Mytilus edulis: one gene and its partner. The protein of the gene in region 1 binds, or shares a complex with, the protein of each later gene. Links are inferred from orthologs where the notes say so. Each region holds a gene or a part of one and is shown in the gene's direction. Other genes may lie near its edges. The genes, in order: dihydrolipoyl dehydrogenase, mitochondrial-like; lipoamide acyltransferase component of branched-chain alpha-keto acid dehydrogenase complex, mitochondrial-like.

Region 1 (15,879 bases):
GACTAAATAGGCCAACCTTTGAAATGGGTGGATGTTAATGTCTTGGACTCTTTAGGACAATGTCAGATATATGTACCAAGGTCAAATGAGAATCAGGGTACAGACATTCCTTCCAAGAAATAAGATACTTATTAGATGAAAATTAAGCTTAAATTAATATCATTAGATTATTACCATTTGACCAGATTTAGTTGACAGTCTACTGCCTTCTTCTGTCATTAATTCTTGTTTTGCTGACAATTCCTCTACTTTAGCCCTCAAATGGTGGCACTCATTCATTACTGAAAACAAGAATGTGTCCACAGTACACGGATGCCCCACTCGCACTATCATTTTCTATGTTTAGTGGACCGTGAAATTGGAATAAATTCTCTAATTTTGCATTAAAATTAAAATGATCTTATCAAAGGGAACATGTATACTAAGTTTCAAGTTGATTGGACTTCTACTTGATCAAAAACTACCTTGACCAAAAACTTTAACCTGAAATTTGCACTATCATTTTCTATGTTCAGTGAACTGTAAAATTGGGGTCAAAACTCTAATTTGGCATTGAATTAGAAAGATCATATCATAGGGCACATGTATACTAAGTTTCAAGTTGATTGGTCTTCAACTTCATCAAAAACTACCTTGACCAAAAACTTTAACCTGAAGCGGGACAGAAGGACGGATGAACGAACAGACAGACGGACGAACGGACGAACGTACGCACAGACCAGAAAACATAATGCCCCTCTACTATCGTAGGTGGGGCATAAAAAGACAATTTTAAAATATTCATTCCCTTAATTTCTTTGACACATACATAGTAAATAAATAGAGAGTTATTTCAGCATAACTATAACATAAAAACTTGTTAAATTTGATTCTTTCTAACAAAAATACAAAATCTTGGAAAGTTTTATTTTACAGAAGTGTTCCATGATAATTTATTGTTATAATCACAGAATAATTTTGAAGAACAGTGTGAGCATGAAGGGAGAAACATGTAGATTACACTGTGGTTAAATTTTATTATATAATCTATAGGAAGTAACTTACAAATAGTTCTACTTTCTTCAGAGCCTTTTAACTGCATCTGCATCATCTCTAACTCAGATTTTTCCTAGTAAACAAGATCTTTATACATGTATTTACGAGATAATAATATTTACAATATATGTACTCTTAAAATTGAGATAAATCAAACTAAAATATAAAGTATAATCTGATTTATTTTATTTGCTTAAATATGCAAAAGGGATGAGACACAAGTTAATCGACCTGTTGGTGACCTTCTGCTGTTATCTGCTCTATGGTCGGGTTGTTGTCTCTTTGGCACACTCCCTATTTCCATTCTCAATTATTTTTTTTGTATAGTCTTCTCCCAAGCTGATCTAATCTGATGCCCAATGGAAATATGGTAGCATTCTTAGTTTGAAGTAAGTTTGTTAAGAAATATTTCATGGGGGCTTGAATATATCATGATTTACTATGGGTTTGCCCTTTAATAGGCTTGATGCAAAATATTTTACCCTGAGCGATAGCCTTTTATAGCAAACCATACGAAATGGGGTTTTCTAATCTAGGAAGACCTATTGGTTGCCTATTATTGCTTAAATCCACTTCATTTGAACTTATTTTCTATCTATATGCAATATTTGCCACTGGAAATTAAGCATTTAACTATCATAATCATCTATGCAGCCTGTCTAAGTTATTTATTGTATACATTTCACTGTAATAAAATTCATTAGATTATCTGTGTGTCCATCTACCAAGGGAGATAACTTACATCTTATGTTAATACCAAGGGAGATAAATTACATCTTCTGTTAATACCAAGGGAGATAAATTACATCTTCTGTTAATACCAAGGGAGATAACTTACATCTTCTGTTAATACCAAGGGAGATAACTTACACCTTTTGTTAATACCAAGGGAGATAACTCACATCTTCTGTTAAAGGTATTTTACCACTTCCACTGCCAGATCTTCCTTTCTGAAGTTCTATTTTTAGCTGCTCTGTGTATTTCTGACTGTCTCTCAATGAAAATTTTAGGTTTTCTATTTCTTGTCTGAGGGCAAAAACATCTCCATCTCTAGAAAATAAAGTAAAAAGTTCAATATTTGTGACTATTCAATGTAGAACTACAAGAAAATTCTAAAACAATTCTTAATAACAGGTGCACAACTTCAACATATTTACAATGTTCCTGTTCAGAGATCTAGATTGTAAACTGTAGGAGAAGAAAATTACACAAAATAAGTATATATCCTCTTTCTAAGCATGAGGCATTTATGAAGTGAAGATAATTAGATAGGTTAGCTTAGAGTCCAATAATATGTTAATGTAATCTTAATGTCTTCCTAAACTTGTGAGCTGACACATTCAAAATTCAATCTAGTCTATTGGTCTAGTACCATATCATTAAATCTTTATATGTTTTTATCTGAAAATATGCATGAAAAAATTGACATTATACGGCCATCAATATTCATCTTATCTCATAAAGCAGCATTTTACATTATTTCACAACATACTAGCCTGCTTAAAATCTATTTAACATCTAGCTGATGTTATTTTTTTTCTAGATCCGACTCAGACTGAAAGTAGCTTTAAACACCAATCAATCAATCATTATTTTTTCTAGTAAGCTCTATCACCCCTCATTGTCTTAACATCTTCCTACTAACCTGTTTTCTGATATATTATTAGCCTCCATGTCATGTGTTTCAAAATGAGATTGCAGTTCCTCTGGTGTGTTATAGGACTTCTTACACATTGGACATAGAAATCCTTCCTAAATTATAAAAAAAAAATTGTTTTCATTAATAATTTGGTTTAATATAAAACCTAACAAGGATTCAGAATTAAATCTGTTAAATTTTATCATTCATGGTACACAGTAAGGTACTTACAAAATGGTAACCACCTTAAGAGACAAGATAACAATTTCAATTCTATTTTCACTGTTCTTGATACACACTCATAGTTGAAATTTCACAGCAATTACCATGGATCCCATGTATGTTTTAATGGAACAGTCCTTAACAAATGTTTTTGAAACACCCAATAAAAAAAACTTTTTTATTTCAATTTGAATTTTGAAAATGTTTTCTCTCTCATAATGCAGAAGCTCATATTCATAAACTTGCAAGATAAATTAAAGATAAAGTTATTACTTTATTGCATTTGCTATTTCAGGGGGAAAGTAGGGATGTTGGAGTTGGAAGGCTTTATATCAAAACATCAGGATGGGTGTGGAGATTTAAAACAGTTTAAATAATAAATACACTTTGATTTTTTTACAAAAATGTATGAGTGGTAGGTTTCGAAAGTGTTTTCCAACCACACATCTGACCTATACTTTTTACCTGAATAACCCACAGTAAAGGAGAACTTTATAATAAAATCTACTTTGACCTACAATAGTTTACTTTTTACAAATTTTGTCTTGAATGGAGAGTTGTCTCGTTGGCACTCATACCTGATCTTTGACATTGTGTTTCTTATCAATAGAATAGAGAATGGAAATGAGCAAAGTTTATTGTATAAATAATTTGAATCTTACTAGATGCAAAATTTACACCCAATATTTTAGAAGGACACAGAAAATGTCAATGATACAAAATTAATTCTCTCGGAAATCTTTGACTTAACATTATGACTTTGTTTAACTATATCAATTTATTGTATATAACACCATTAATAAAAGAAAACAGGGTTCTAGATAAATTTTGGGTATGTCAATGAGGAATCGTTTCATTAAATAAATTCACATACTCCCTGAGGCTTGTTTTCGTCATGTTCAGCATCAAAATGATTCTGCAGGGCTTCAGCAGATTGCATGGATTTCATACACATAGGACATAGAAATCCCTGAAATATGAAGTAGTGCTCTAGGATAGATAAGGGAAGACAGGGATACAGTCTGATTAAAATCTGCATCCCAATGTCTCTTTGCTAATGATACAGAGAGAACTTATGGGGCAAATTTTAGTGAAACTGAACAACAAAAGTAACAAGGACAAACAAAATATTGAATAAATCAAATGTAGGTAGTGCAAGCTTGAAGGGCAAATTTTTGAAGCTCAGATAATGCAAGTTAAAAACTTGTAACAATTTTTATAAACTTATATGTCAAGACTCTTATAACAACAGAGTAGGCAGTAATTTAATTCATTCAAAGACATTGACATGTTTTGGATAAAAGCAATGCAGAAAATTATGCTCTAGAATGAAATCGGGAATCAATTATTTACATGTAACAATGTCACCATGCTGAGTTATTATAAAAAGAAACAGAGAGTAAACTTGAACAAGAAGTTAAAATAAAGTGTGTTTGCAATAGATGTTAAATTGTTGATTTAATTTCTTGTTTTCTGTTTTATTATCCTCTCCCCCCCCAAAAAAAAACCCAACCCCATCACCTATAACTTACCTGTGCCTCTTCTTCTGCATCATTCTGTCCTTGTTTTACAGGGGAGGACTTCGAAGAGTTGCTCTGTAAAAATAAAAACAATGCTGATAATTCTAAAATATTACACTACATATATGGGAAGCTATAAAGGAGAGTTTGAATTTTAAATTCACAATTTAAATTAACATTTCAATTATTTGAGTGCTTCTTCCTACAATAAGTTGAGATTCCCTGTTTGTACATTTTGTAAGACCAACTCTTTTTATCATTTGTAACTAAAAATTATCAGGTTCATCCATTCTACTGTTAGTAATTTGTTACCCAAATGATATACTGCAAAAAAATCATTTAAGAGTTTCAAAAATAAAATCCAAGTGATACTACATGTTTTGATTTGGCAGTTTGACAGAAAAACTGAAAAAGCTGTCAGATGCCAACATTTTACTTTTTCAATATAATACACTTCCTTTTATCGCAGTATGAAACATTTGCAATGGAACATTTTTTACAGAGGAGAACCTGTTTTTGTCTCTAAAAACAGCTCAGTTATGGAAAATAATATGCATGCACAGTTTGAATCTGCAATAGAAATATTGTAAACATGGTAAAGGTATGAGTTTATGAATATGTGCTCAATAAGATTTAAATGGTGAAATATACATTCTACCTTTCAAGGAAAAATCTGAAATATCTTCGACCAACAGTTTAAATTTGCATTAAAATGCTTCATTTTTCACCCACAATTGTATATAATGAGCATTTGTTTGTGTTAATTCTAAGTGTATTTCAAAAATGGTTGAATAATTGCTTAATTAGGCAGGCTACTTACTATGCAACACAGAGTCTAGTATACATGTATGCTGCTTCATGCAATAAAGTAATGAATAAGTATGGGGTACTGTGTTCATGCTAAACAACTGTGACAGTGAAATAAGAGGTTTCTGTAAAATCATTTTGGCAGAACTAACAATATCAATTATCATTACTGCAGATGTATTTCATTAGAAAAGAAGGTTGTTGGGTAAAAGGTATAGGATGTCTTCAGGCAAGATCAATTTTTTTTTTGTCATTTCAAGAATTTCTAAAGAATATAAAAAAATATGAATGCCTTTGTTTGCTGGTCAAGAAGTCCTCTTCTCATCAAGGAATAAAATCAAGAAAAAACATGGTATGTACAAGTTGATTTAGTTAAAATCCCCCTTTTTGATGTTAGTGAATCACTGTGAAAATGGAGATAATCTGATTGCTGGTAATCTGCTCAATCCTCACAAATTGGTACCAAAAGAAAACAACATGAATCATCTGACTATCTTAAATATATATACAGATCTTGTCAAGCACAATCATCAGCATTCACTGTGAATAATCTGATTTTTTTATTATGTCTGGAGAAATTTTCAAATGATCCCCTTGTGTAAACTGTACTTTTACAATGATATTTAGAAGCATATCCATCTTTACCAATAGAATCTTATGACTCATAAATTTGTAACATGGCAATTTTAATCTTATTTATTTCAACATTTTCAAAAAGTAATAGACTTGTAAGACTTATCTTAATGCTGCAATAATTAAACATTAAAACAACTGTTTAAAACCAGGGTTGGCAAAGTATTACCCGCCCGGGAAAACCCAGGCGGGAATTCCCGGGTTTTCCCGGGCTGGGCAATACTCCCAGAAATGGGTAATACTGGGTAATACTGGGCAATAAGACTTTTTAAGCTTATTTTAACACAAAATAGTAAAGTCTTGTTGTACATGTTGAAGTTTCATAGTATTATAGCTAAATATATACATTTTATACAGATAACCATTGAGAGTCATGTTTCTAGAAGATTGAAAATTCAATTTCATTCTTTTCTCCACTACTTCTATGAAGGAAGAAAACAGATTTGAATATTTTAGGATTATTAATACAATGTACCTTGTTAATTTCCATGTATTGTTTCAACTATCCAAACTTTAAAAAAACCCGTTTAAGCAGTGTTTATGTGAATTATAAATTTAAATGTATATGCAATCATATTGCTAAATAAACACCCTACAGGGTCAAGTCATTAACCCTTATAGAAATGAAAAGGCTGAATATTGTTATATAAACATATCAATGTCCTAATCTGAATAATTACTTATTAATTAGTGATGTAAATATAAATTATGCAAAAGTATTTTTTCTTACATTTTTTTGTTAATTCTTAATGTAAGATATATATACATTTGATAATGAGTTCTTTGAAGTTATGTTAACAGTTTGACCAATCGAGACAAGAGGGTGATTTAATAGACTTTCATAAGAGAATTATTGATAAAGGCCTTTTCCATTAATATCTGTGTAATGTGTGCCTACATGTTTACTTGTCTCATAGTTGCAAGAATAGTACTTTTTCAAATGTATATACACTTGTATTATCACTCTCAAACAAGTAAACTAATTTATAAATCAAAATGTGTTTATAAATATCTTAAATGTTTTGCAATTGAGTTTGATCACTGAATCCTCTTTAAAAAATTCAGGCCAGTATTTTATATTACCCAGTATTGCCCAGTATTACCCATTAAAACCCAGTAAAACCCGGGTTTTCCCAGTATTTCCCACTGGGCTGGACAATACTCATAAAACCCGGGTTTTTGCCAACCCTGTTTAAAACATATCAACTTTTAAATAAAAATACTTTGTCATCTGCAGATTCCAATAACAAACCGACCGTGCAAGAGCTGTACATGTATAGCCACTGAGCCAGTCAAGGTCGTTAATAACTTCCATTTTTCATTAACAAATTAGTCTCTTTTCAGAAATTGTTTAAAATTGTTTAGTACAGAAACACTTATTTGCACAATGTGAAAGACAAGGACAATGAAGGAAGGCAAGGAAGGATGAAAATTAATAAATAAATCACCTTGTTAGTATCAGCATTATCAACAACCTGCCCCTAGAGGATAAACAAAATAGAATAAATATGAATATATAAGCTAAATTATAAAGCATTGTTTACCAATTACCAAATGAATAGTTATGAAGTGAAACATGTCTAAATCAAATCCTGTATAAATTTGAAACCTGTCTGTCTAAAGTGAATTTTAGTAAAAGAACATACATTAATGATTATATATGTATTAGTGTTCTAATCTGTGAGAACAAAACACCTTTCTCATGTTTCTTATTGATGTACATGTAATACATTCAAAGTTGTCAGTCTATTATATTTTATGCTTTAGACAAACTTCATTGTTTTTTCATAATAATGATGACAGTTTTCACCAAGTTTCAGACTTTTTGAAAACTGAAATTCATTAAACAAATGTTTTTTTTCTCAAATTTTATCCAACACTTTAAAAACAATTAACAAACTGTGGATACAAAAATCAAGCTTGCATTTATGCATCCTTTTGGTGAATGAAAGAGTGTAAATTGTTGAAATATGGTTAAAGGGGGCAGGAGGGGGTCCTCATCCTGAAATCCCAGGGTTATAAACAAGAAATCCTGAGGTCTAGAATTTAAATAATTTTAAATCCTGCAATCCCGAAATTAGAAAAAAGAATTCCTGGATCACGAAAGAGTCGATCCAGTAATCCCAAGTTTAAAAACACCTGATCCCGAAGTCATGATAAAGGTCCTATCCCTCCTCTTAGGTGATACTGTGGATTCATTTATTTTCGATGGTATCAATTTTTGTGGATTGAGGGAAACTTGCATCTTCGTGAATATTTCATTTCATGGTTTAGTATAATCTCTGTATACAAATGAAATTGAGAATGTGTCAAAGCGACAACAACCCGACCATAGAGCAGTCAACAGTCGAAGGCTACCAATGGGTCTTCAATGTAGCAAGAAACTCCCGCACCCAGAGGCGTCCTTCAGCTGACCCCTTAAAATATGTATACTAGTTCAGTGATAATGGACGTCATTCTAAACTCTGAATCATACACAAGAGACTAAAATTAAAAATCATACAAGACTAACAAAGGCTAGAGGCTCCTGACTTGGGACAGGCACAAAATTGTGGCAGGGTAAAACATGTTTGTGAGATTTCAACCCTTCCCCTATACCTCTAGCCAATGTAGAAAAGTAAACGCATAACAATACACACATTAAAATTCAGTTCAATAGAAGCCAGAGTCCAAAGTCAGAAGATGTAACAAAGGTAATATTAAATTTGTAATTCGTTGAACATTTATGGTTCACCTGTACCCAAGAAAATTGGTATCCAACGAATAATAATGAATTCACAGTAGTTGAGTTTGGCATATTTATAAAATTTGCTAAAGATTTCATTTAAACATTTTCAAACTCCCCTGGTATTGCACACATTTATACAAGTATACCAGTATTGCAAGCACCAACTACAGGAGATCCATAATTTGATATAGTGAAGCATAAAATTAAATCTTTACATCACTTGGATTGTGGAAAAATTTATATTGTTGGAAAAAGAATCAACACAGGAGCCCTGTCAGAGAAGGCAAATGCCGAAATGGTAAATAGTTCCTATTTTGGACGTTTCTTTTCCTTTCTTGGTATTTGATAGCAGTTAATAACACATGAAAAATAGTTTGGTGTGGACATAGCAAGTTGGTTTTAATTTGTTAACCTTTTCGTCTTTTCTATTTAGCAACTTTCTGAACATTTTTATTCTCAGGTGTTGCAGATGACACGGGGAACGTCCCTTCCGGAAGTTGTCACCGGAAGTCGACTGTAGCGACACCTGTAGCCGGTGTACCTCAAGTTCAGAAGCAGACCACATTCAGCAAAATATGCTTTCTACCTTCTCACAAAAGTCGTTGCCTTTCTTAAAGGTAAACACATACAGTAATGTTATCTTTGTAATACCAGTCATCGATAAAGATATCACCAGACTGGCCAATAACACTCATTATCCTAGCTAGGACATTGTTTTTTTATTATTTTTATTTTTATGCAATACACATGTATGATAAATGTCATAATGTTATACAGTATAGCGATTTCGGTTGAATCAAGGTGACTTTCATTCAGCAAGAGACATATTCAAAAGCAAATATTTGTAACGCACATAGATAATTATCTTGCCTATATACATCATATAGATTCATGACCTTGACAGCTAGAATACACCATATATTTTATGCAATACTGCCAATAGTACAGATTATCAGATATATAGTCAAATCATATGATTTAGTGTGTAATATGAATTTGTACCTTTTGGTTTTTTTTCAATGGGAATGGTGAAATGTAACACACAATAAACATGGGTGAATGCATATATGTCAGATACTGTGTATATAATGTCTACGTTGTAATATCCTGCTTATAAACATGTGCATGGTTCTCTCTAAATCTTCAATTAAAAGTTCACTTGTTTCTTGTCAATTCTAAAGCTCTGTAATGGGGGTCTCATTGGAGGGTTCTGATCCCGGATCCCGCTTACTGTTTTGTCAGTTTCCGGTATCCAACTTATAATATACTATGACTAGGTACGTAATTTTCATTTTTTTTGTTATTTCCTGTGTCCCACTAGACTTCATTTCCTGTTTTCATGGCACAATAATTTGATTTTCACATGTCACGCTTACAATAAATCAGTAATCCCGTGTCATGCTTAGACCCCAATGAGACCCACTGTAATAACATGGTAATCATTACAGAATCTCAGAATATCAACAGCACAATCATGATCAGGGGTTTATTATAATACATTTGTAGGCCTTTATATGGCTGAAATAACTGTGAAGGGGCCTTAAGTCAAAGAAGTGAAAGGACAAATTCAAATAGAAAAGTTTTGATGTAATTCAAGATTTGAGTTATTTCCCTTGTCAGTCATTTTGGAAATGGCTGATTTTTTTACTTGACAAACCAAATACAACCAAGTCTGATATGGATCCATTATAGATTGTAGTGATGAATTAAGGAAGTTTAAGGTTAAAGTAAATTAGAATTGTTCAGAAAAAAACTTTTTGTAAAATGTATTTGTCAATTTAACCCTTTCACCGATTGCTGCCCAGACAGAAGCTACTCTGAGACGATGGCTTCCCTGGATACTATTGCTCAAGTGGGAGATCTTCATAAAAAATGTCAATAAAAACTTGTTTGTAGTTAATTGTGTATTTATTTCATTCACTAACACCATGTTCACAGTTTTATTCATGTTTTGATAATTTTTTCCTCATAAAATATTCAAATTTTCAAATTTTCGGCATTATCTAGGTGAAATTCTCAAAATTCTGCTCTTTGACCCCAAATCGTAATTTTTTAACCCAAAACGGCAAACTTTTGAAAAATTTTATGAGGCTGTACAAATTCCTCACACTGAACGATGTCCATTCCAAGTGTTTTGTACATAAAACGACATTTTATGTCAAAAAAGTATACTAGTTTGGCTTCAATTCTTTCAAAAAAAATGTTCCCTCATTTCAAATTCTCGTAAATTCCGTAAATTTCGTCTGATTTTGACACGGTTTTCAACAAACGGAAGCGCCATGTTTATACTTTCATACGGGTATTCATCAAAGAAAGATAACTCATGTTTGCACTGTTTTAAGCGGGAAACATAAAAGATGTATTCCGATCCCGGTAAAACGGGACTCATCGTCAGTTGTCTGAAGCGTGAATCCCGGTAAACCGGGACTCATCGGCGAAAGGGTTAACAAGTTGAATTTTGCTGATTTATGAAGGTTTTTGTGCACATAGACCTTCAACATGGTGATGAAAATGAAGTATAAACTCTTTCTCAAATTGTAACAAATTAAACCTATCTATCATTCTATCGTTAATGGACCTAGATCTATAGCCATCCATTTTCATGATTTAAGGGCATCAATATTCACCTTTCTTATTTGGCTTCATAAAAATGATATTATCACATTAATAAATCAAGTACTGTGAAAGTACTTTTATTCGAGGGGAACTAATTTTCGTGGATGACTTTATCCACATATTTAAATGTCCAACAAAATAAATAACCGTTGTCCAAATCACGACATCGAAAGATCCACCAGTATGTTTGACTACTGATATGATGTACATGTAGAGAATATATTAAGTATTGCCAAATCTGAGAATACTTTAACAGTAGTCACAAGGCAAACGCTTCATGAACAACAATGTCAATTGCAGACAGTATTATACCTATTTCATCTTTAAAAACCTAAACTGTACAACTTTTGATCTTTATTTCTCATCAAAAAATATTTTGATCGAAGAAAGTCGGATTTCTGGTATTGATATGCTATGATAAAGTGTTCATTTTATATCCTCGTAATTCTCGTCGGTATGGGAAATAATAATTTCATGCTGGGCTTGCTTTTGATAAGAATTGTTTTACAATTCAAGATACGTTAATAACATTTGTTGATGTAACTGTTTTCTATAAGGTGACATGTGGATGGCTTAATTAACACTTTTAATGGTCTTTAATCTGTTGATCACTCTATCTCGGGTTAATTAGTATGAACACTTCGATTTACACAGGTCAATGTTTACTTTAATCCAGATAATTTGTAACCTTCGTTTCTAATGGCTTCAATTTTTTCATTTTTGATTGTTTTGAGAATATACTCAAATCCATGAGTTTAAAACCCCACGAACATGTGAATGTTGCTCTTACCACGAAAATTGATACAAACGAATTAAAGTACTTTCACAGTATCAAAATATTCTATTTTCAAATGCTACCATAAGATATTGATCTCTATAATTACTTTTAATCACACAATATTTACTTATTTTTTGGGGGACAGTATGGAAAGACATACATAATTATATGTCATTATAATTATTACAGTTACACTGAAAGTCATGGTCAATATTCAATAAATTGAACAAAAATCACCAATAGCTTTAAAGGATTTTTGTACATGTATAATAAACTATTTTTATATAATAAATATAAAATATCACTGAACTAGTACATATTTGTTTAGGGGCCAATTGAAGGACGCCTCCGGGTGCGGGAATTTCTCGCTACATTAAAGACCTGATGGTGACCTTCTGCTGTTGTTTTTTCTATAGGCCGGTTGGTGTCTCTTTGACACATTCCCCATTTCCATTCTCAATTTTATTATAATAAAAAAAAAAAATATAGGTTATCCATCCATGACACAAAATCAGTTCATGCACTTCCAAAAGCTTTTACACATTAAAAGCAAAGGAACATTGCTTTTATTGCTATTTTTCATCTCAAAGTGACAGTGATAATATATATATATATGTTTACCTTCATTTGATTGTATAATGTAAATTTTAATTTTTTTCCCAGTATGTGTATAACTAATGTATTGTGGCACTAAAATATAAAAATTAACTTTAGGGATCATCAAGTAAAGTTGTGAGATGTCTGATTGTATCACAGAACAGATCTTATGCCAGTGAAGGTAATGTACAGTAGATATGCAATAGTAAGATCTGTAGACATCTTGGTTTTGTTTACGAAATATAAAATCAATAAAATGGTAAGGGCTTCAAACACAGTAACTCATTTCACTAAAAATCTTGTGAGAAAAATAGTGAGTCATGGGACACATACACATGTACTATATGAATTATGTCAGACTTAGTTTTGTCATAAGATGTTTTTGTGAAAGGAGCCCCAGATTTACATTCATTGGAAAAAATGATGTTTATAGACTTTGCAAGTTGCAGTGCACATTCAGTTAATAACTGCACTTGTCAGTTAATTTTTAGTATGCAGTTTTAACATGCCTGCTGACTTTTCACTATTCATGACTTGATAGATAAGAACAGCAGCACATGTAGCCAAAACTGAGAGTTGTCGACTTGTGCCATCAAAGTATATATGTAATTGATTAAATATAAAATAAGAACTGAAATATCGTGCTTAATTACTTTAAAGCCAGGCAAATAAAAACAGATCTATTGATGATGACCAGCCAGTGCACTCTGTTATGATTTCTTTAACCAGTATTTTAAAGATATATATATATAACACTAAACAGCTGGTTATATTTAGTGTAAAATTTCTGTATAGTTAATAGTTTCCCTTTTCACCAAACATGAGCTGTCTCCCATTTGTTAAAATTGCAGCTTTTATTTTGACATGCACTGCATTGTTCATAAAAGAAAATCATGCAGCTCTTGGTTTTTTTTGGTTGGTGGAATGTAATATATTTTAGGGTTATTGTATGAATATTGGGGAATATTGTCCTGAGTAGAATTTTATATTGCATGAGCTTGCCAGTGCAATATATGTTCTACGATGGACAATATTCCCCATTATTCATGCAATAACCCTTTTATTGTATAGCAATATAATATTTGAAAGTAAAAATTGGTTTAAACTAAGATTTTGTAGTTGAAGACATCATGAATTTTTGAAGATTTATTGCACTAGTGCAATATTAGAATTTATTGCACGCCAACTTTTGGTTACTTTCTGTGGGAAATAGTAAATTGCTATGCAATAAAATTGAATACTGTAAATTCAGGACTTATTGCATGCATTTATAATTGTGTTTTTAAGGGAATGGATAAAAATGCAAGATTAACTTTTGTAATTTCAGAACAATCTACATAAATGAATAAAACAGTTGTGCCTTATACGTTGTATATGTTCCCTAAACATATATTTATTTTCATATATTTCAGCTGATAATGACTTAGTTGTGATTGGGTCTGGACCTGGAGGTTATGTTGCTGCCATTAAAGCTGCACAGCTGGGCCTTAAAGTAAGCAAGGTTTACAAAACAAATTTGTTTATTTGAAAACACATTTTTGTCAGAAACAGGTGCTATCTCATTTTCCAAATAATAAGTATGAATGCTATACTTTCAAATTGAGGACAAATTTACCAAACTTTATTAAGACTTGCTTTCTATATATCATGTATATTGTAAGTATTTTGAATTTGAAGAAAAGTCTTTATTACAAACTATATATGAATTTAAAAGGCAATGTGGGGTAATTAACACCAAGAAAACAGCAACACAACAAAACAGGAAACCCCAAAATAAATTTATTAATTTGACAGCGACTAATAATCAAAGAGTTGCCACCATTTATAATACCAAATTTCCTAAAGAATGTTCTGTTATGTATGCTTAATTCTTATGAATTTTTTTTTTTATCTTAGACAGTATGTGTGGAGAAAAATGAGACATTAGGAGGAACTTGTCTGAATGTTGGGTGTATACCATCAAAAGCATTACTCAACAACTCACATTTATATTATATGGCTGCTGGTAAAGATCTCAAAACTAGAGGCATTGAATGTAAGTTGTGAACATATAATTAGTGATTCAGAAGATTTTATTTTTATATTTACATAAGTCATTTAAGTATAAAAATAAGGAGATGTGGTATGATTGCCAGTGAGACAACTTTCCACCATAGTTCAAATGAAATGAATTTAAGCAATTATAGGCAACTGTACAGCCTTCAACGATGAGAATATTGAAATAATAACAATGAAGTCCAACAATAATTTGGTCTTTTCTGTACCAAACCTTCTGCATTTAAAAGACTAACATGTTGGTTTTTTTTTTAAATAATAGAGTATTGAGAGATAAACTTAATATAACTGCTAAGCAGGACTAAATTTTGGTTTCTTGATAGCATATAAAGATAGTTTGATATGAAACAAAGTAAAATAAATGAAAAATATTTCATGAAAGTTGCTAAAGCATGTCAAAAATTATTTTATGAAACAATTTATAGTATATTTTTTAGATTTTAACTTTTAAGTATAAATTTTGTAAAAGTAACCATATTATACAGTGTTTTCCAAAGATATTTCATATAGCATCCTAGTAAAAAGGGGAATTTAAAATACCATCTTGTTTCTAAAAGTTATAGCATCACAATCTATAAGAAAATCAATTCAGATATCATCACATTTAAGATTATAGCATCACATTATTATGATGCTGAAAGGCCCTGGGGAGAACACTGATATATATCCAGAAGAATATTTTTTTTCTAAATTCAACACGAATGTTTGTCTCCTACTTTTCCATGACACTTTTTACAATTTTTATCCTCTTTCATTATATAAACACTAAATTAAAGGATCAAATGATAATTCATTCTGATATTCTAATAATAAGAATTTTCACATATGAAAATAAGTCAATCAAAAAATTAAATAGATTATTTATATGCATTGAGTCTGATTAGTTTCGGATTTCTTTTCAAACTTGTACGATTGTTATTTTTCAAATGTGCAGAATTATTTTTAATTATAGTTGAAAGTGTCAAGTTGAATCTTGATCAAATGATGGGACAAAAAACAAAAGCAGTAAAAGCCCTGACAGGAGGAATAGCACATCTCTTTAAACAAAATAAGGTAATGTCTATTGTAAAATAAGTACAGGTATATTATAACATTTCAAAATAATGAAAATGTAGATTTACATATATGTTTTTTTTAAATCTTAGAAAATTCATAAATAGTTATAGTAGACTCTCATTAATCCTAACTAAGTTGTCTACAACTCTTAGATGAGTTAAATTTTGACTGTGGTACCAATGTTTTTTGCATA
Region 2 (16,119 bases), about 30 Mb from region 1:
TTTATTTTATTTCTTTGTCTGGTATTGTGTATTTTCAACGAACACTCTTTTTCTCGCATGTTTTATAATGATTAGTGTATTATGATGTGTATGTATACTCTTGCATGGTAAATAAAATGTTTATACATGTCATTATAACTGTATGTGTGTGTAAACTATAATCGGATGTATTATGTGCTTAAATATTAGTGTTATTATTGATCTATATAGCCCCATCTTTTATAGAATTATAGATTTACCAGGGAACGACTTACCATGCACTGACATGACTGAACACATGCAATGTGCATTCATATTAAAGTAGGCACAAAATGATTTCAGTTGACTCTTGTGACTACTTTTTCAGATATAAACTATTCATTAAAATTTCTTTTTAATTCAAAAAGGGGGATTACCGGCTCTCGGCCTGAACGTGATAGTTTTATCAGAAATATTTCAGTAAAGATATATTTTTTTCAATCCATCTTGGATTTATAAGGCTTGTATAGGCTTTGATGTTCGTCCAGAATTTTTTTTAAATTTATTTTTAAAGGGGCACTAGCCACGAGATATATTTCAAGGGACACTAAATCTGCGAGATATATTTAAAAAAAAAATATGATTTTTTTGTTATATTCAATCATTAATAAAAGGGAAAGAGTGATACAATAATTAACAGTATGGTTAAATGTGTCAGAACAAGGTAAGATACATCGATAATGAATCATTTGCTTGCAAGTGAATAATTCATCCTCATTGAATCCGCATTCATGTGAACTTTAGTTTAATTCCTTAGCTAGAGTTTTCAAAAAGACTCATTCTTATAAAGATAAAAACAATGATTAACATATATGTTCACCTACAATATGAAATCAAACAAACATAGAAAAATCAAATTACACGAGTTCGCTTTCTATTTCTATTTACATTATATATATATAGGGGTTTAACCGTCGGCATTCTTCGGAGGTTACCTCGATGGTTCATTAGATGGAGTTTTGAAAAGATATATATTTCATGTTAAGGAGGGGTATTTGCAAAAAATACCAGTCGAGAAAATGGTAAATTTCAAGAGCCGCAAGGCGAGGGGAATTCATTATCAAGACTGGAATTTTTCGCGATAATTTTCCATATACCCCATTGAAAAGTATATGTGACTGATAAATAAGATATGAGAATTTGCAGTCATATTAGTGAACATGAATTTGACAGCTAGTGCCCCAATAACAATAATATTGCCTTGTCTCTTTTCAGCTACAAACCCATTAGATGTAGTTAAAATTCGAATGCAGTTAGAAAATGAACTAACTCGACAAAAAGGACTGGACGTTTATAGGAATAGGTATTATGAGGGTGTCATCAAAGGAGGAATTCAAATTTTCAAAGATGAAGGATTCCGAGGTTTATATAAAGGGTAAGTCAATAACAATACGTTGGGGATTGTCAATGAGCTTTAACAAAAAAATGTTTTTTTATTACACATGTAAAACGTGTTTATATTTAAGACGATTTCCAGTACACTCTTGCCCTAGAAATAGTTATGCTGTATGGAATAATGTAGTAAAGAGAAGACATCGTATAATTGTTTGAGATAACAATTTGTTTGTTTTTATATTGCAAAGTTTACCTACTGTTGAGAAAGGACGTTCAATGACGTCGTTAAACAAACAAACTAATATTAACACGTACAATACTTTCTAAGTAGGTATGGGTTGGGTTGAGAAAACTCTTCATCTTCATATTTCCATTTTAGAAAAATATACATTTAAAAAACTTGCTTTTCATTAAAGTTGCAATCTTGGTCACATGTTCAGAAAAGGTACGTCAACTTTGCAAATCATTAAAAACTCACAGTACACATACCGGCATATATGAATCTGCGATACCGAACATTACGGTTTTAAGCAAACATAGAAACCACTTAAAAAATACCTGATGGGAAATAAGTATACCCTAAAACTATAAGATCTATAAGTTCTGCATGAATGTTCAGAACTAACCTTTTCACAAATACAATGTTATGCATCAAATATAATGAATATAGTATTCAAACAACTACTCAATTAATGATGTAACTTATAGAACAAAAACATACATTTTACAGTTTGTTGCCGTCTGTGATGAGAGAAGCTCTCTATAGTGGAATTCGTTTAGGTGCATATGAACCAATCAAAGTTCTACTTGGAGCAAAAGATAAAGCACACACGCCTTTGTGGAAGAAGATTTGCGCGGGTGCAGTTTCAGGTACATATTTTTGCCGCCCCTTTCCATACATTATTTTTTTCAGGATATCAAATGGACTTGCTTTTTAGCTAACGCTTGCTTAATATTAAAAATGATCAAAATTAATGTAAAGTATATAATTGTCATACGATAACTACTTTCGAAATTCGAAAATTAAGAGAGATTTTAATGTATAATGTAGCAAAATTTACTTAATACATGCAGCATGTTGGACCGATATTACACAATTTATATTTTGTTTAAACAAAAATGAAATCGTAAATGTTACTTTCTGAAAATAGTGTGATGTGAAAGCTTCACAATAGAAGAAATTAAGGCGTCATTATAATGATATTTTAAATGGCTCCGCTGTAGCAGGCATTACATCCTTGTCCGTCTGTACGTCCAACATTGTATTTGCATTCTCTAACTTTAGCTTGATTCAACTAAATGTTACGAAACTTCTGTACAATCCTTATTACCACAAAACACAGATCAAGTGTGAGTTTTGTAGGCATCACTTTTACCGTTTTACAGTTATATCCCTTACAAATGAAAAAAAATGCAGAGAAATTGCTTAATTTTTCTTTGTTGTTCTTTAAAGGACCAACGGACTTAAATTGGTAAATGCGTATGTTATATTAATTATAAGCTTTGGATTTTACATATTTTGGCCACGAGCATCACTGAAGAGATATGTATTGTCGAAATGAGCATCTGGTGCAGAAACATTGGTACCGTTAATGTTATTATAATGTTTTGATTTTTACATTTATTTTGTCTTGCCTTCTCAAATGCAGGTATGAAATTACATGTGCAATCACACCCGTTGTTAATCCTCTTTGTCATGTTTGTCAGTATTACATGTTCTTTTCTTGAAACAGGTGTGATAGGCAGTTCTATAGCAACCCCCACGGATCTTGTTAAAGTTAGGATGCAGGCATGCACTCATGGACATTTAGCGGGGGACAAAACACCCCGTTATAAAAATACATATTCAGCTTTTGCAGAAATAATTAGGAAGGAAGGAGTAAAAGGATTATATGTAGGTGTTGGACCAACTGTAAAAAGGGCGGCAATTCTTACGGCAACGCAGGTATGATGATTAAATAGATTATGATATGGTGCTTTTCAAAAACGTTCCTAGATTAACTTTTATCATAATGAAACAATTTTCATTAATGCGGGGTTCACACATTGCCAGTTATTGCTCCCGTTTGAGGTCAGACAGCAATAAGATAAGATAAGATATGTTTATTCCAATGAACGGGCCCATGAAGAGTAAAGCAATATGACACGAAAGCAGAGCAATACGACACGAAAAGTGAAAAAGTCGGATTAGTATCCTCAATTATCTGGAATGTCCTATCATTGTCTGAACGCAGTCGTTTTAGTTCGTAACAGATTCCTACGGGTCGGGAAGGGTCCGAATAGTTCGGCAAAGCACCCCGACAGTTAGGTGCGTCCCGTAACATTCGGGGCAACTCAGCCGATTTTGTCTAGTCGGATTACAATCGTGGCTATGTCGTGACAGATTCTGCTGTATCGGATCGAATTCCGAACAATGTTTTGTGTATTCTGGACGGTGTCCTGTGCAACGGAAAAGATCTGGAGTATTTTTTCATAGCTGTTTTTCTGCCGATTGAGTCAAGATTGCATCCAGATCTTGTCGATTGCGAACCGTTTTTTGCCGAAACCGTTCCGAAACAGTCCCGTTATGAATACGAAATTCGTCAATGATACTCACGTCAGAGTCCCGACAATTACAGAATACAATAAGACTGAGACCAGACAAAGCCGTTTGCAATGCGATAGAGCGGACCGTGATAGGATTACGTTCCGACAGTACCTGATCATCCCGAATATGCCGACAGTTTTCGAACGGATAACTTCCGTCAGCGTCGGTTCACTGTCTGGTCACTGCCTGATCTCTGTCGTATTACATTCGGTAGAGTCGGGACGCTGTGGTGACAGACTCGGTCGAATTTTACCTGGCGAAAAATACGAATCGGATTAGAAGCGGATTTAGAACGGGATTATCGGGACATATTCGCTTGGAAACGGTTGAATATCGACGCTTCCTGAACACTATCTGATTGTTGTTGTGATCAAATTATTTTTTTTTACCAATTTTAATTAAAGTTTGAATTTCCATCCACGATTCACAGGATCTTGATCAGACTTTTAACAAATTTTAATCGGGAATGGTCCTGTCAAGGACGGTAGTAAAAATCGTGAATGTGTGACCCCAGCTTAATAGATCGTCCTTGAATGATTTGTACATTTTAGATGAAAGCTTGCAGGCGATAATTTTGTAGTTCGTGTAATGATTGATACATATATGCACGAAGCAATAAGCAAAACAAAAAATAAATAAATTAAAGTTAGTCCAATGTCATTTCAACTAATGAATTCATCATGTTCTCCAATAGGGAAACTATATAGTATCAATCAGTACCAGCCTACGGATCTTGTGTGCAGACGTCATAAACTGTTTGATAAAATCATGAAGTTTTAATGTCTCGTGTAAAATTCTTACAAGAAATAAACAAATGCAGGATATATTAGTGGGAGAAAAGACACTCAAAACAGAGTTATGCTACTACCAACTGCTAGTTCACTGCTTTTCATGTTTTTTTCTCTCTCTCCATATATAGATCCCAAGCTATGACCATACTAAACACACGATACTAAACTTGAAATGGATGGACGAAGGGCCACTATTACATATTATATCATCTATGGTAGCTGGTTTCATGGCTGCACTTACAACCTCGCCAGTAGATGTCGTCAAAACCAGAATCATGAACCAGAAATATGAACGTAAGAAGCACTATTTACTTTCCGAGTTGTTTGATTATCTATAGTATATTTTATAATTCCCATGACACTTCATTACATGGCATTAAAGTATAAATTTACGTACCGGGGTACTTGTAATATAGTATGTATACATACTTCCGTTGTTCCAAATATAAGAGTTACATGTCCATAAGGCATTTTTTCTTTATGTTTGTCGGTTATTTATTCTTTATATCTATATATATATATATATGTTGTGATGATGTTTAGTTTATTGTCACAAACAATTATAAATATTGCACAATGTGTTAAAGTATTCCTTAAAAACTTAATGATTTCTTTTGTTTCAAAATTGATTTACCGAACATGGATGTTTAACACTGAATGCAAAAACTTTATTTAGATTCGGTGTTGTTAGTAAGCTCTAGAGAGAATTTAACTGGATACATACAAACATATGCAACAGCATAGAAAAATATTCATGCAATAAAACCTAAAATTAAGGAATAACAGTACTGTAGTTGAAGAGTTGCCACTGTCAATTGCAGATTTGACGGTCGCGAATGCAGTTTTACTGGCGACGCGTAGCGGAGACAGTGAAAACGGAGATTTGCGACCGTCAAGTCAAAATTGACGGTGGCAACTCTTCAACTACAGTACTGTTATTCCGATTCTGATGCATTACAATAAGAAAAGAACAGTAAGCACTGCACAAACATGGCAAAGCAAGTTATACATTTTATGATTATTCCCGTTTCCGCGTAATCATTTGATAGCTAGTCCGAGATTACTCTGACGTCCATCGGCTGTTTTGCCAAACAAACAGTCCGAGATAACAAACAGTGTGAGATTACTCTGACTTCCAACGGCTGTTTTGCCAGACAAGCTCCGAGATTACACTAACGTACAACGGCTGTTTTGCCAGACAAGCTGCCCCAGCCTGTCTGTCAAAACAGCCATTGGACGTAAGAGTAATCTCGGACTATGGATAACATGATCATTGTGATATCACAAATAAATAAATAAGTAACAAAATAAAATGGGTATTCCACACATTATCTATATTAAAAAGAAAGTTGTGTGGTCAATGTGGAATTTTAGGTATTTGTTATGTTTTTCAGATCACCACGAGAAGGTTTATAAGGGGACGTTTGATTGTTTGATGAAGATTGTCAAAACAGAAGGATTTTTAGGACTTTATAAAGGGTTTATACCGAACTGGATGAGAATTGGTCCTCATACTGTTATATCATTCTTTATATTTGAACAGTTAAGACGATCTGTTGGGATGGATCCTGTTTGATGTAAAAAAGGACTAGGATTGTTTTGTAATTTAGTGTTTTTAAAACGATTCTCAGGGAATACATACACGGATTAGAAGACGGATCAAAATAAGCACTTTGTTGCTTGACGGATTAGTATAATCACGAGTTGCTTGTGTCTCAGTGAATCCTTATTGTGAATGTGTTTATAATTATACTTGTTTATGATTATTCATCATGAAATATTGTTTACAACAACACATATACGTGTAATCCAGACATTTTTATTCATATACATATAAATGGTGTTTTTTATACAGTTATATTTTAAGAAATTTATTTATGTACGGAATGTGTATAACAGAGAGAGCAGGTGCAAGCTGATATTTAAGTTTTGTATGTGCAATAAAAAGTAATTATAGTTTGGCTCTTGTACTTTTAAACCTTTACAAGAATGCAGACGGAGGAGAAGGTTCAATGACTTATAAGAAATAGAACGAACCAAAAATTGTATTTGGAACATTGTTGTTGTCATGGTGAAGTTCGGGGATCTTTTTTAATTTTTTAAAGTAAATATATTTAGAAAATCAATAACCTCGATGGGGAGGGGATGGTACTAAGCTCTTTGGTTCTATATGGAAAAGATTTCCTTCTGGTTTTTTTTTTCAAATTGTTTCTTATGCTGTGTCTAAAGGTCTCTCTAGATATGTTTGCAAATTGGACAACTATCGATTAAAAGATCAAGGGACAAGGATGTATAAAGTGCAATTCACCGCACCACACAATGAAAAACAAGTGAAATTGATGCCATCAACTACAATTCACTGTACAGCACAATGATATATACAATGGACACGGATGCCATCAACTTCAATTCACCTTACAACACAATGAAAAACAAGAGACAAGGATGTAATCAACTACAATTCACTGTACAACACAATGAAAAACAAGGGACAAGGATGTAATCAACTACAATTCACCGTAAAACACTATACAGAACAAGGGACAATGATGTCATTAACTATACAATTCACCGTACAACACTATGCAAAACAAGGGACAATGATGTCATCAACTACCGTGAATTCACCGTACAACACTGTACAAAACAAGGGACAATGATGTCATCAACTACAATTCACCGTACAACACTATACAAAACAAGGGACAATGATGTCATCAACTACTATTCACGTACAACACTATACAAAACAAGGGACAAAGATGTAATCAACTACAATTCATCGTACAACACAATGAAAAACAAGGGACAAGGATGTAATCAGTTACTATTCACCGTACAACACTATACAAAACAAGGGACAATTGAGAGTTATCTCGTTGGCACTCACACCACATCTTCCTATATCTATTTAAAAATGTGAAAAAAACTATTTTCAGTCCTGAAATGGTTTGGAAGGCTGTTCCATAAAGTAGCAGCAGCAAATTTGAAAGTTTTTTTTTACCGTAACGGGTTGGCTTTACCTACGGAATTTCCAGAATATTTACATACCTGAAATAAAATTGAGAATGGAAATGTGTCAAAGAGACAACAACCCGATCATATCTGTCTGCTATGCAGACAACAGCCGTCGTCACCAATGGGTATTCAATGCAGCGAGAAAAGAATACTTTTAAATTTCTTTGACACTCACCAAATTGTGTAAGCACACAGGAGCCATATTGTTTATAATCTTAAAAGTTTCTAGAGCCATTGTTCTTATCCGTCTGATCTGCACGGAGGGCACCTTAGCCTCAGTAAGTTAGAAGACCTCATAGGAGCTGGTAAAATCCTCATATACGAAACGAAGTGCTCTTTCCTGCACCTTTTCTAGTTTTTTGGAATTTCTCTCAGTGTAAAAATGCCATACCAAAGGGAAAAAATCAAATTACTTAGAATAAAAGTATGAAAAATAATAAGTTTACTAAGTCTAACCAAAACTAAGCCTTAACGTTTAAAAACATTTAATTGCCTTGATGCCCTTCTACAGATTGAGCTGACATGAACATCAAAATTTAACTGATGGTCAATTTCAATGCCTAATAATTTTACTGTTTTTCACATGTATGTAAGGTTCGAAATTTGAATATGTATAGATGGTCAAAGGTCAAAGGTCTTTTTGCCAACAGCCAAAACTTGAAACTTGTCGGGATTTGCTTGCATTTTAATTACCCGGAACCACTCAATAAGTATTTTGACTCAGATTCCAAAGTTGAAATTAATAAATCAGAATCTGGAGTACAGATTACCATCTGCATAGTGATGTAAACTACCATTTTTAACAAAAAGAAAAATATAATTTATAAATATGTTAAACAACAATAGCCCTAGTAAAGAACCCTGTGACACGCCTTTATGGATATTAGCACAACCACTCAGAACAGTGTTGACTTTAATTTGCTGTTTACGATTATCAATTACCAACCCAGGCTTCATATGTGGCTTCGTATGCAGATCATATACACACACGGAAATTTATAAAAATATTTTTTAAAGCCCGACTCTTTTTTCCAAAATCATATATGATCAAATAATTGGAGAATTTTACACTCAAAAACTGAAAAAATATTACGCGATATCGGATACAAATTTATTGCTAAAGGAAAGCTATAGGAAGGGATATTTAAATTCACAAGTCAAAAGCAAATAACAATACCATGACAAAAAAAGAAAGGACGAAATCAAAAGACAAACAAAAGTACACACATCTCAGCATAAAAAATAAAGACATAACACTGAATCAAAAACCTTGATCTATATTAGAAATACCCCTTTAAAAATTCAATTCCTTCTTGTAATCAAATTAAAATTGCCAGAACAATCTCATCATGACGGCATTGAGATACAAACTATGTCTCTGATTTTATTGGGTGAAGGAAAGACAAATATAAACTACGTGTGTTGTTTTGGGGAGCAGTACATCTAAGGAATCAACAATTCGACGTCCAGGTGGTGGAGGGCAAGTGTTATGTTTGCGTTTTTCAATTTCTCTAAATATTCCGAGCCCCACTTTGACGGGAAAAAATAATGTGGTGAAGCATGCAGATGACAACACATTTGAACATGAATTCAGTATTCTGAATGCAAATCAGAAACCCCCATACTTCATAGTATAACATTTTGAAAGAAAAAAAATCTGATTGATTGCGTTGAAAACTAAATAAAATTGTTTATACTTTGCGCAAGAAGAAAAATCTGACTAAGAAGAACAAATGTAACCCACTCCCCCCTTTTATTTTTAGTTAAATGGTTGTTCCCTAATGGGAAATGAATCTGATAGCCAATATCAAGGACGTGAGTTGGTTAAGTCCAAAAAGTTGTTTCGTATTTGCAAGAGCCCATTAAATAAAGAAAATTAATAAATAAATTGAATTATTTTTAATGGGAAAAAGTTGGGGTGTGTGTCCCAGTCAACCAATCACAAAACACTATTTCAACACACAGAATAGTAGTTTATCTTAATCCGTGTAAATTCTACGATTAGACAGCAATTGAAGTTGAAATATATTACCTATTAAAAAAAGAAGATAATCAATATTGCTCGGGGGCAGCAATAATCATGTATAGATTTTTTAGAATCTAAAGGAAAAGGATTTGCAGATACTGTTATCGGGATCGATAAAAATTTTAGTTTTATCTCAACCTGGGTTCCTGCCGATGGCATCCTTCTGTCTGTTTGCAAACATCTAAAGAACCAGTTTAAGATGGCATCGACGGCCTTGCGAAGGTTGAAATGGGAAAAGTTTAGGTTTCTTAATAATGTACGAATTTATCAATCCCTAAAAACAATTGCAGTCAATCAAAATTATCGGTAGATGTTAAATATTGTAAAATAATATGTTGTTATTATTGCAATGACTAAATACACACACTTTAAAAGACGGTTATTCGATCCAGGATCCATGTAAATTCAGTTTGTGTTTCGTGTGTGCTTCATTCACTTCTTTTTTTTAAGAAGGGAATCTAGTTTATCCAAAATAATAGTTCGTAGATTTTCTAAATAATTACAGACTGATTGCTACACTCCCCCTAGTTTTTAGTGAAATTAAAGCTTGAACTAAACACTGGAAATTATGCTTGAGGTAACAAGAGGTTTCGGCCTTGGTCTGTTCACAGGAGTTTGAAATACTAGCAATAAAGGTGTATAAATATGCCAAACTCGACCAGTGTTCTAACTACAGAGTTTGAACAGGGCGCAGCGCATGCCCTTTTTTATTGACGCAATGCCTTTTTTCTGTCGTTCCTCTGGCGCCCTTCCGTTTTTATCACAGAAAATTGGCATTTTCTGCCTTTAAAATATCGGTAAAATCGTAATTGTTTCATGAACAAATGATATAAATTTACGCGTAAATTGCCTTTTTTTCAATGACATTCATGCGCAAAATTGCCCTTTTTCTGACTAGCACCCTGCCCTTTTCAAATCTTGGCTAGAACACTGTCGACGATCTGTATCACAGCAGAGTTTCTCTTAAAGACAGAATTTAGTAATAAAATTGAGAAAGGAAATGGGGAATGTATCAAAGCGACAACAACCTGACCATAGAGAAGACTTCCGTAGGCCACCAATGGTTCTTCAATGTAGCAAGAAACTCCCGCACCCGTAGGTGTCCTAAGACTATAACAACTTTAGCATTGAGAATTTTCTTAGACAAAAACAAATGATAAAAAGATATACATGTACATGTACTGTGGTACAGGTAGTAATCATGGTTATTGTACACATACATGTGAACCTCCCGACGGGAGTACAATAATCCCGTTTTCAGTGGTCTCCTCCCGTCCTCCCGTTTAGGAGAAAAAACTCCCGTGTATGAAATATTTCATGAATGAAAATTTTCATCCGCCGTATTTGATAAATTCTTACTACCGTACGGGTGCAATTGACACCTGTGTTAAATTTTACCTGTAAATCAAAGAAGATGTATAATTATATGGCTTCACTTGACAGCTTGGGTGTCAAACCTACTGGTAATCAACGATGTTTACCTCTGCTAACTGCCGTTGTTTAATAAAAACTTTGTGTATTCGAAATAATTGAAATACATTTTTATTACTTCCCTTTGAATTATCCTGTTTTAAGTTATTTTGCTTTTAAAAACGTAAAATGTAAAAAGACTATAAATGAATGATATTTTAATCAAATACTCATAAAAGGATGGTATTTAAATGAATTTAAATGTGTTGGGACTTAAAAAAAAAGGCTGATTAAAAATCCTAGTTAGTTTTATGCCTATTAGAACCTTGGGATCAGAATTGTTTATGTCATTATATATAAAATTTAATGAATTAGCTAAAGATAAAAAAAAAAACTTACACTGTTTGAGCAAGGATTTGTATAATAAGAAGGATTGGAATCTCGTGGACTTTTGCATAGACTGTAGTATAATGTCTTACTATACAAATCCTTGGTTTGAGTCAAAGTTTTCTAGAAATTATATGACTTTCATAATGCTTTTAAAAAAACCATGCAGTACTATTGTTAGTGTATAGCATATTTCTTTCTTATTTGTCTATACAGTTACCAATGATGAGGAGATGGAAATATAAATCTATACAGATAAGATAAATAAATTAAAATATAATGATTTATTTGCAAGCAGTGAACAATCAATTATCAAAAACAAAACAAATTCTTCTTAATATTTTATTTTCATTCAAATAGAAAGGCAATAAAGGTACTATAAACATATTACAATTTGATGGAAATTTGAAGAAAAAACACAATTTCTACATCATACAGTTACATTTACGACAAAATTTATGTCGATAAAAAACCTCCTGATCTGAGTCCTAATCTCCTGACCAAAATTTCCAAATCTCCTGATCTGAGTTTCACAGTCCATCACATGTATGTCGGTACATGTACTGTGGTACAGGTAGTAATCATGGTTATTGTACATTGTTATAAGGAACAGTTCAGAAAAAAACTGATTAATATAAATGTATGCACTGAAAAATTTCTTTACATTATTTTGCAGTTATCTAAAAGAAAGAACAATTGCAATCAACATCATACAAGGACAATTTGTCAAAGAAAAACAAATCAGTATATTTGTCACAGTCCGCTAGTATGCTGTAGGACTTTTCATTCGTCTCCAGGTAGGTACAAAATGTACATGGACATACCATACATTGAAATAAGTTCCTTAACCTAAGTTACCTTATGAAAAATAATAACATCTTTTTTTTTTGTTCTTTAGAAGAAATTAAATATTTTCTAAAGTCTTCTCTTATTTATTTATTATTATTACCAAATGAACACATTCAAATTACTTGGCCTCTTCATTTGACAACTGGCAATTGCTGCTTTTGTCTAAAATTGAGAATGAAAACAGGGAGCATGTCAAAGAGACAACAACCCAATTAATGAGCCGAGAATAGTATTTCAAGAAACTTCTGCTTATCAATGTCATTACAGCTTCTAATTATTTATATTTTACAGTTTGTCATGAGTTAGTACAGTTTAAACTTGCTGATATAGGTGAAGGCATAAGGGAAGTTCAGCTGAAAGAATGGTATGTTATCAAACTTATCAAATAGTGGAACTTTATATCTATGATATGTGTTTAGTTTTTATTCAACTACAAAGTTAAATATTGGGATATAAGGATTGTTCATCCATGGATCTGTTCAGGCATGTCAATCTTTTCAGGTTTGAGATTTATGACAACTAGCTGCCTTTTGATTTAGATGATTTTCAGTATAGTCATTCCCATGAATTACTTTAAAAACATGTCATACTACAATTTCATGCCTCACCTATGACAGTTGAGGGGATTATGTTTTCTGGTCTTTTCGACAAGTTTTCGTCTGTTCGTTTGTTAGTCCTTCCGCTTCAGTTCAAGTTTTTGGTCAAGCCACCAGGTACATTTTGATGATGTTGAAATCCAATCAACTTTAAACTTTGTACACATGTTCCGTATTATATTCTCTTTCTAATGATAATGCCAAATTAGGTGTTTGACCCCAATTTCATGGTCCACTGAACATAGAAAATGATCATGCAAGTTGGGCATCCATGTACTATGGACACATTCTTGTTAACTTATATGTGTAGTTAACGTTCTAAAAGACATATCATAATCAATCTTATATTTGGCAAAGCATGATTATTTCCAAAAACTTGGCGTGTGATATTGGAAATCATACAAAATACAATATGATGTAGTTCTTCACCTTTAAATATCTTTTTGATAGATAAAGTTTTGGAGATTTTAACAAATACAAACAAAATGGAATGGAACTTGATGGATTCATTTCTTACTTTTTACCGAGTGCTATTTAGCATATTTCTTATTTTGTGATTGATTAATTTTTTGGTTTAATCATATCAAACACCAATTTGACCCTTGCTTTAAAAAGTTGTCAGTATAGAGTCTTAATATAATTTATATTAGACTTTTTAGAATGGAATGAAGCTTGAGTCTTATGATAACTTACTGTGTTCTCCCCAGATTATTTTCATTTAGCATCTTGGTAAAAAAGGAAATATGAAATACCATCATGTTTCTAAAAATTATAGCATCACATCCATAACACAATCTATAAGAAAATAAATTCAGATAGCATCACATTCAGAAATATAGCATCACATTACCATGATGCTAAAAGGTCCTGGGGAGAACACTGATCTTATGAAGTTGTTCATTTATAAGTTTGGTGCTAATTAGATCAGAAGAACGGTTGGAGAACTTTATTTTTATTTGAATTGTAGGTTTGTAAAAGTTGGAGATCATGTGAGTCAGTTTGACAGTATCTGTGAAGTACAAAGTGATAAAGCTACAGTGACAATCACCAGTCGATATAAAGGAATAATCTCTAAACTCTACTATGATGTGGATGATATTGCCTTAGTTAGTAAACCATTGGTAGATATTGAAACAGATGCTGATTCACCTGGTATGTCAACCTTGATTTCCTTTTGGCTTTATTGCCAGATACTTATGCTTCATGTTGAATCTGGATCTGCTGTATAATGGCCTATATATAAACTGTCTTCAGTAAGGTTTTGAACACATTTGTACACACTGGATGAACAACCTTTCACTATACATGTATATCTAGTAAAATTATGAAAAAAGTCATGCAATTTTCACCCCAAAAAAATAACATCACTGTTGGATGAGTACTTACTTCATGCGGTCTCATAAAAAAATTATTGAAATAAGCTGTATTTGTGACAGTCCAGTAAGACCACTGCAAAATGATCATTACAGTAGAAGGTAATACTACAAGAAATGTTATATTTAAAAGCCAGATGTTCACTTTAGTTAAATTTGAGCCATCTGCCTTCTGCAATTGCACAGTAATTTAAATGCAATACTATTTTGATCAATGCAATGTTATCTAATTTAGGTACAACTCAGAGTAGTCCATCATCTTCAGAAGTATCAAGCTCTTCATCAGATGATGAACATTCTATGCAGAGGATACGTGGACAGAAGGTTTTGGCAACACCTGCAGTTCGAAGACTTGCCATGGAGAATAAGGTAAATTATGGTAAAGATAAAGTATGATTGGTTGATTGATTGTTTGGTTAATGTCCTAGCGACAGATTACTTTCGTGCATATTCTGGACAAGAATACAGTACCAATAATCTAATACTGTAAATACAGAAATGATTGGGATGTTTATTATTGCAAAAATGTAACAGGGTTATAATCGCAATAATTTAAACGCATTTTGAATTTTTATGCCCCATTTATAAACAGTATGTTTTCTGGTCTGTGCGTCCCTTGTTCGTTCATCCCTCTGTCTCGCTTCAGGTTAAAGTTTTTGGTCAGGAAGATTTTGATGAAGTTGAAGTCCAATCAACTTGAAACTTAGTACACATGTTCCCTATTTTATGATCTTTCTAATTTTAATGCAAAATTTGAGTTTTTACCCCATTTTTATGCTCCACTGAACATAGAAAATTATAGTGCAGATGGGGCATCCGTTTACTAGGGACACATTATTGTTTTAATCTAAAATGATAAAATCACAATAATTTCGGAATGTGCAGTAGATAGGTTTTAACAATGAGGGTTGACAACAACAAATGGTGGGACTACCACTGGAAAAAGAGGGTATGTAAGGTAGGACACAAGTTTTGTCTTCAAATATACCACACTAGGAACCCTTTATGAACTGTTGTAAAGGTTCTTTCTTGTGTAGAGAATGCAGAATTTTTCCTACATAAGGCATCTGGTTAAACATTAAAAACTGAAAATTGGCTGCATCTCTATATTATGCACAGCCAAAAAGATACCCCTTATTAGCATATTTTTTTGTGCAGTCAGTGTAGAATGGTTTGTCTGTGTATTTAGTTAGATCTGAAACATCAAAATATTAGATACTGAACAGGCCCTTTAACTCTTAAAGAAATAAATTTATTTGTAATACGTCATGTTATACCGGTATACTATCTAGTGAATCCCTTTATAATAGAAAGTATGCCTTATTTTGTAGATCAAGTTAAGTGATGTTGAAGCAACCGGAAAAGATGGTAGAATATTGAAAGATGATATCCTAAAATACATGGAGGACCCTTCTGTTGGAAAACAAGGCATGATTTTAGTATTGATCAACTTATTTCAGAGCCACCACTGTGGTCTTGTTTAAGCATGGAGGTTAGGGGTTTAAATTTCTGTCTGGATTTATTATGTTGCAATTAGTAAAAACAAAATAGTTAGCTCAGACAGGAGTCAGAATGTATCTGGCTTTCTATTTTTACAATCATATGACATAGCCTGATAATTTTTTGCTTAATTTGGTAGTCTGTTTCAACGTTCTAGACCAAAAAACATGGGGAAATCAATATAAATGAGAGAGGAGAAAGATACCAAAAGGATATTCAAACTCACAAG

What was found.
Region 2: the proteins of dihydrolipoyl dehydrogenase, mitochondrial-like (region 1) and lipoamide acyltransferase component of branched-chain alpha-keto acid dehydrogenase complex, mitochondrial-like are in contact, whole or in part, in a crystal structure (PDB 3RNM), measured with the Homo sapiens proteins. The link is inferred for Mytilus edulis from reciprocal best matches to the Homo sapiens genes DLD and DBT. Residues at the interface, in NP_000099.2 of Homo sapiens: Ser446, Thr447, Asp448, Arg449, Glu472, Tyr473, Gly474, Ser476, Glu478, Asp479, Arg482; in NP_001909.4 of Homo sapiens: Thr174, Pro175, Ala176, Lys196, Arg199, Leu201, Lys202, Glu203, Leu206.

What each region holds. Positions count from the first base shown.
Region 1 is NC_092344.1:47,451,697-47,467,575, forward strand, and holds the start of dihydrolipoyl dehydrogenase, mitochondrial-like, read left to right. Parts: upstream 1-9,068; 5' UTR 9,069-9,159; coding exon 9,160-9,201; intron 9,202-12,692; coding exon 12,693-12,756; intron 12,757-13,987; coding exon 13,988-14,067; intron 14,068-14,471; coding exon 14,472-14,610; intron 14,611-15,582; coding exon 15,583-15,683; intron 15,684-15,879. Other genes in the region: early endosome antigen 1-like, read right to left, coding at 175-281, 1,045-1,108, 1,938-2,085, 2,681-2,787, 3,771-3,866, 4,429-4,491, 7,305-7,337, 8,997-9,032. UniProt on the Homo sapiens protein: Lipoamide dehydrogenase is a component of the glycine cleavage system as well as an E3 component of three alpha-ketoacid dehydrogenase complexes (pyruvate-, alpha-ketoglutarate-, and branched-chain amino acid-dehydrogenase complex).
Region 2 is NC_092344.1:17,371,821-17,387,939, reverse strand, and holds the start of lipoamide acyltransferase component of branched-chain alpha-keto acid dehydrogenase complex, mitochondrial-like, read left to right. Parts: upstream 1-9,902; 5' UTR 9,903-9,974; coding exon 9,975-10,031; intron 10,032-12,248; coding exon 12,249-12,369; intron 12,370-12,712; coding exon 12,713-12,785; intron 12,786-13,984; coding exon 13,985-14,169; intron 14,170-14,625; coding exon 14,626-14,759; intron 14,760-15,721; coding exon 15,722-15,818; intron 15,819-16,119. Other genes in the region: mitochondrial substrate carrier family protein ucpB-like, read left to right, coding at 1,234-1,393, 2,084-2,223, 3,087-3,298, 4,860-5,025, 6,126-6,307. UniProt on the Homo sapiens protein: The branched-chain alpha-keto dehydrogenase complex catalyzes the overall conversion of alpha-keto acids to acyl-CoA and CO(2).